Linked DNA regions of Mus musculus. The protein of the gene in region 2 purifies or fractionates together with the protein of the main gene of each other region. This does not show direct contact. Links are inferred from orthologs where the notes say so. Each region holds a gene or a part of one and is shown on either strand. Other genes may lie near its edges. The genes, in order: Capzb and Plekho1.

Evidence for each region.
Region 1: the proteins of Plekho1 (region 2) and Capzb purify together in Homo sapiens (co-immunoprecipitation; 3 studies listed by BioGRID and IntAct, counting the BioPlex papers as one, with this or other methods). This does not show direct contact. The link is inferred for Mus musculus from reciprocal best matches to the Homo sapiens genes PLEKHO1 and CAPZB.

Annotation. Positions count from the first base shown.
Region 1 is NC_000070.6:139,191,620-139,195,533, forward strand, and holds the start of Capzb (F-actin-capping protein subunit beta), read left to right. Parts: upstream 1-1,279; 5' UTR 1,280-1,406; coding exon 1,407-1,409; intron 1,410-2,381; exon of another isoform or gene 2,382-2,510; coding exon of another isoform or gene 2,511-2,600; intron 2,601-3,914. UniProt on the Homo sapiens protein: F-actin-capping proteins bind in a Ca(2+)-independent manner to the fast growing ends of actin filaments (barbed end) thereby blocking the exchange of subunits at these ends.
Region 2 is NC_000069.6:95,990,367-95,992,936, forward strand, and holds part of Plekho1 (pleckstrin homology domain-containing family O member 1), read right to left. Parts: intron 1,913-2,570; coding exon 1,772-1,912; intron 1,183-1,771; coding exon 1,078-1,182; intron 550-1,077; coding exon of another isoform or gene 537-549; coding exon 435-536; intron 1-434. UniProt on the Homo sapiens protein: Plays a role in the regulation of the actin cytoskeleton through its interactions with actin capping protein (CP).

The DNA.
Region 1 (3,914 bases), on a different chromosome or scaffold from region 2:
ACCCAGGCTGTAAGAGGCTCTATTCCTGGAGGTGAAATCTTACCCACAAGCCATATGCCATCATGGGCTATTTTGCTCAAAGCTGTAATTTCTCCAGCCTGCTTCCTACACAGTGCTTGGCCAATAGCTACATGATAAATACTTCCGGTGTAATGACCTTCTAAGTGCCACTCCCTTCTCTGAACTCCTGTAATATTGGTCTATGTCATTCTTGAGAGACTTACCTGGACGCTTTCTTTGCTGGTGGCTGTCCCTGCAAGCTTTCACTTGACTATAAGCTCAGAGGCCTAGGGCACAGTTTCCCCTCAGATGTTTTCTGATCTCTTCTCAGGACCTGATATGACTCTAAACGGAGGGTGAGCAAGCCGTGTAGGGGGTTGTTATAAACAAAACGTGCAATTCTAGGGCTCCTGAGTTCTAGATAACAAAACAAAATTCACTCTTTTGAACAGCAAATTTCTGGTTGGGGCTGCAGTTAAGTGGAAGAGCTTAGCCTAGCCTGCCTGAGGCTCTACGTTCAATCTTCAGACCTGAAAACAAAGAGGGATTTCTGAGTCACTATATGATTCGAGAGAGATACTCATTTAGGGAAACGGGCTGATTCTCTGTACATAATGTAAAAAAGTATATGAAACAGCATTTATTGAACCCAAATGTTCTAGTCTTCTTACCCGGGTCTTTCCCACAACTACTCTGGTAGCTATGAAGTGCAGGCAGGGATCCTTATGGCTTATTCACTTGTCATCTTTTGGTACCTAAAAGCTGCCCGCCTGGTCCTGATAGCAGGTGTTCAGCAACAGGGGCGGCAGAGCCGGCTTCCCCATGCAGGTTCCGCTCGCTCTGTAGGGGCCGGGCCTCGTCCGGCGCACCAGTTCCGGGTCCGGGTGGGTTGCGGAGGGCCGGTCCCCTCCTAGTTTCGGCGCCTTCCGCATCCTCCGCCCAGGGGAACCAGTGAACCGCTCCACCCTCAGCTAGCCCGCGTCCTGCAGCTGCGAGAAGCGAGGCTGACAGTCAGAGGAGGGACGCAAGTAGACCCAGTCCCTCCGGAACGCCACAGCCCTGGCCGCGCAGGAGCGTTGCGCCTGGCCCGCCCCTCCTGAGACAGGACACGCCCACTCGACCACAGGGCCTGCCCCCGTCCCCGCCCCCCGCGCGGCGCTCCATACTTGGCGATCGCTGCGGCCCCGCGCTCTCATTGGTCGGGAGCTGGCGGCTGGGGGGCGGGTCGGGCTGGCCGGGGCGGGGAAGGAAGGTGGTGGCTGCCCGGCGCGGGGGGGTGGGGGGGGGAGGGGGGCGCTGACCCGGATGTTCACTCTTGGGCACCCGGGGAAGTGGAAGCGCAGGGCCCTGCTGCGGGGGGGAGAGCCACAGACGCCGGGACAGGGACCGTCGCCGCCGCCGCCACCATGGTAAAGGGACCCCTTCACGGCTCCATCCCGGGACCCCTCTCACCGCCGGAGCTCGCGTCCACTCCTTCGCCGACCCGCCCGGCCCGGGAAGGGTGGGGATCCGGGGTGGGGGAGGGGCGGGGTCCCGGACCCTAGGCAGACGCCACTCTTCGGGTCCGGAGTGGGCGGCGGGAGGCCCTGATAGCCTATGACCCCGCCCTGGGCTCCATGTGGAGCCCAGTTCTTCTCCCTGCAAGTCCAGGCTAGTCTCGCCTATCCCAGGCTAGACCTTCCTTCCTTCAGGGGCCAGGCCGGGCACCCCTCTCGCAGGCCTTCATCCCATGGGCTGTACTTGGGCTCCTGCCTCGGCCCCAGGGCCCAGGCTAGGACCGTGGTTCTCGCTCCAGTGGTCCAGTCTAGGTCCCCTTCCCCCAAACTCTTCTCCTCTCCATGGCCCCAGTCTGCACCCCGATAAGCCCTTTCCAGTGAACTCTGCCTAGGTTTGTTTCCTTCACCGTCATGGAATCTTCTCTCTGCGGTCGGTCCTCAAGTGTGGCCTCTCTACTCCAGCTGTGTTCCCCCCCTCCCTGCACCTCCCTGTCCCCGGCCCTAGCCGTCCCCTTCCCCCGACTTCTCACGACTTAGCCTAGCCTGCGTCAGCCCTTCGCTGCTCTCACCCTCCCATCTAGACCCTGCTTGTTCCGTGTCCTGCTCCTGACCCAGGTGTCCCCTCTCCTGTTCCTAGGAGGCTCTTTCTGGGCAGCCTCTGGCGAGCGGGGGAGAGCCCCAGCCAGGGTGGGGGTGGTCTGGGTACTGAGCCTTTCCTAGGTTTGCCCCTTTCTGGGGAGGCCGCTTCGGTGTGAGTGAGCAGGCGAGCGAGGGAGAGAAGGGCGGCATCTGTATGCCCGGAAGGCAGAACAGGGCATTTCCCTTGGGAGGGCCTAGTGGTAGTGCGGCTAATAGAGCGCGTCTTGAGGGGTGCCCTGCCTGAGTGGGGAGCAGAGTGCTGACGGGTTGGTAAGCCAACTGGACAGGGGTGAACTCACAATTGCTCTTGTGAGGCCGCAGCCCTGGGGCTAGGGGGACACGGAGCTCAGCAGCCCAACCTACGGCCTGGACACGATGCATCCTAGCAGGCGCAGCCTTCCTTTCCCCCTGAACTGTCAGCTTGTTAGAGTTGGGACTGCTGATTATGGAGGTGCCTCGGAGCAGGTGAGCAGAAACTCACAGGCCGGAGAGCTCCCGGACTCCACTCATGGTGTTTGTTTTGGTAATGAAGACAGGCACACTATGCTAGCAACTTATTTGAGGAGCCTTAGATGTGTCACTTCCCTCCTCCCCCATACCCCTGCACCCCCTAATCTACCTGGATACCTGCAGAGCAGGCCCACCATCTTTGGTGGTGGAAGGGCCAGAGAACTACCTCACATGGTCAAGGAAGCCTTGTAAGGTAGGCTGAGAGGGAAGGCAACCCACCTGCTCCGTGTAGCCTTACAGGTGGCTCCCCTCCTGCCTGGTCGATATTTAGGAGGGGATTTTGGACCCTAGATGGTTTTGAGGTACCCTGTGCCTTGTTTTAGCAAGGGTGCAGCAACTGTATTGGGGATGACTAAGTCTGATTGGCTAGTAAACTTTCTATATATTGATTAAAAGCATAGGCAAGACAGGTTTTCATGTTATTGCTCTTGGCTGGAAACGGGCCTGGGGGTCTGAACCCCTGACCTTAGTCTGCAGGGGGAAAGGACTTGTCCAGGACAGTTTTGGGTGAGATTCTTCAAAGTAGACTGAAGTTTTCTGTGTGTACTCCCAGCACCAAAGCAGGAGAGGGTGGTGGAGTGGCCAGATGGGACTTAGTCTCCACAGAATCATCTAGGCTTTCGCTTTGTCCATCTGACAGGTGAAGAAAAGCTGGGGCATTCATTGTAACTCATTCAAAATGTTGTTGCATCTGTGTGGAGAGCACTCTTGGCCAGTGGGAGCCTGCCTAGCAGCCTCCAGACTGCGGTCTTCCTTGTCTGCTGTTGTGTGTCTGATATAATGACACTGTTGAAGAACCATAATGATGGGATGGATGCTCAGGCCCAGCCAGGGAGAGCAAGTGCTTACCTCTGCAGACTCTGGGTGGCTCTCCTGTTAGGAAATGGCCATTTTGAGACAGGAGCATAGCCTATGGGCCTGATCCCCGAGCTCTTAGGGGACAGAGATGTTGGTCTTGTGTTTTCTGCCCCTGTCTATCTGGTCCTAGAACAGTACCTAACTCTGAAAGATCTGTCGTGGAAGGCTGGGCGTGGTGCCACATACCTGCAGTCTCAGCTGTTTAAGGCATTCAAGGCCAGCTTGGGCAACAGTGAGGGTGAGACAGGAGATTGCTTAGTGTGATCTGGGATGGTCTGTGAGCGCAGCCACCCAGGTTTGACACTCGTTAACTTGTTCTTCATGTACCCCAACCTCCTAAATGTTTTCTGACTGCCTACTATGCTAGTATAATCTGATGCCCTAATGTGGGTAGTTTGGGCAAACCAGAAG
Region 2 (2,570 bases):
AGGTCTGCTCACTCCAAGGCCTGTGCTCTTCCACCTCCAATGGACAGCCTCTCCCTAGACTTGGAGCAAGGCTGGACGTGAGAAACCACTACTTCATTTGGTAGAGGGTTAGCCGTGGGGTGTGTGGCACTTACTGTCACCCCTCAGAGTGGCCGGCCACCACACAGCAGCACACATCATTCTGAACACAACACTTCTGCTTTTCACTGTCCTAGGGGTATTTCTCATTTCCTCAGAAGTTTTTGAGAACAGAGATGTCTGACTTGTGCTACGTGCTGACTAAGTAATTTTGGTTTAGAGGCATCAGACAGGGACGCAGGGTGGAGAGGTCTCCCGAGCCTTTGATCCCAACAGTGCTCCTGCTCATACACAGCTGACGGACCAGCCCAGAACTGGCCCCTGGGCAGTGCTTACTCTCTTGCAGTTTTACATACCACAGCCATGAGGTGTCCCCGGGTTGGAGGACGGCGGGAGTGTTGGATTTTTGCTCTGTCTCGAGTAGGGTGGGCAAGATAGCTGTCCTCCTCAACGGTGACCTGAAGAGATGCACTGTGAGTCACAGGGCTTCTTTAGGACTTTGTCCCAACTGAGTTTGGCAAACCCTAACTCGCCTGGACTGGGAAGCAGGCCATTCCACCACTTGCTTCTGAGCAGGGTATAGGCACAAGGATTTACTGACCCAACTGACCCAGGACTAGATTAAGCGTTGTGAAGTGGGTGTGGGGTTCGAATCAGCAGAGAAAAGGCTTAAGAGAGAAAAGGGGTGGGGGTGGGGGAATGACACAACAGGGCCTTTAAAGAAGCTGAGAACAGTCAGGACTTAGTGGCACACTCCTATAATTCCAACACTTGGGAGGCAGAGGCAGTTGGATCTGCTAGTCTGGTCTACAGAGTGAGTTCCAGGACAGCCAGGGCTACACAAAGAAACCCTGTCTCAAAAAAACTGGGAAAAAAAAGGCCAAGAAACTGATCTGGGTGAAACTAAAGGGACCCCACAAAGCACCCCTCCTCATCTAGTGAGCCACAGCCTGCTTTCCGCCCTAGTACCCCATCGCTGCCCCACAGCAAGCCCCTGACCTCATCCAAGATACGGTTTTTAGCTCTGGTAATGGCAGAACTCAGGGCGTTGATCCATGACTCCTTCTCTTCAGGACTCACGGCCAGGAAGATGAGGTTGGGTGCCTGTGAGGGGAATGTTCTTGTCTTAGCTAGGGCATTACAAATACATTATACCCACCCCCTGAAATAATCCTCTCACTCCCTCACACCCCGCTCCCGGAAGGGAGACCCTGCTTCTGGGATGATCAGTGACGGAAGGAACCCAGAGTCTGTTCCTGCAGAACGCACGGGTTGTTTTAGCAAAGATGGGTGTGGAGGTGGGGCTAAGAAAGTGACACTGGGGACAACTAGGGGAGGTGTGAATGCACTTAGATCTTTAAACGTCTGAGGACACGGGGTGTGACAACCATGGCTTCCCTTGAACTTCAGACACCCATCAGGGAAGAAGCACCAATAATGTTTCTCCCAAGAGAATATGTACATACACACAGTAGGGATGTGTGTGTGTGTGTGTGTGTGTGTGTGTGTGTGTGAGTGGGGGAGGGGAGAGGAAGGGGTGGGGAGAGAGAGACTTCTTTATGGCTAAATAGGTTATAGGCTGGCCTGCCCAGAGGAAGGGAAATGGTCAGAATATTTTCCAGTTAAATAATAAAAGCCAGAGGGAAAATAATTATGGCCCCTGCAGCTAGGGCCACAGCGAGGGCGAGCCTACCGTGGTGCCCGGCTGTCTGCACCGGGCCAGGGTGAACTTGCTGTGATTTTTCTTGCTCCTGCTCTTGGATTTCCGGAGCTCTTCGCACTTCTCATAGTCACTCAGGTCAAACACCTCCTGACTGTTTTTCTCATCTTTTACCTATGAGAGGGTGGGGTGTCATGAGGATAAAATTACTCTTTCTCTCCTCCAGAAGAAAGTGGAGCAAGAAGGACAGCAGGAAGCCAGCCCACCTAAGGTGTGTACTGGGGGGTGGGACTGAGACCTGAGTCCCTGTATGGTGGTCTGTTTAACCCACTCCCCCCAAGCTACCGTCCCCGTGCCTCCCTCTGCCCATGACCCTCTGTCTCTGAAGGACGCAGCTTACAAGTCCTTAAAGGGGCATGTCCTTAAAGGGACATGGTGAATGGACTGCTCTGATCATTCCAAGTAAGGAAGACAAGAGTGACCACTAACGTCCAGGGGAAGGGGAAAGGCAGCCAACATCTGGAAGGGACAAAGGGCAACATCTGGAAGGGACAAAGGGCTGCCTCTGGCCTCAGGGAGTGAGTACGATGGTTCCGAGTGTTCTTTCCACCTGCTCTCTTCTATCGTAGGATGTTACAGGAGACTACTTCCTGACAGCAGGCTATCCCTCTCTTCCACCTGGTTGGGGATATCCCAGGAATGAGCTGGTCATGTCTCCCTGGGAAACAGTTGAAACCAAGCGAACGTGTATAAGAAGGCTCAGCCCGTGGCCGATCTGCCCATCCTTCTGAATTGCTGAGCACATGTGCTGAGGAGGAACGTGGGGAAAATT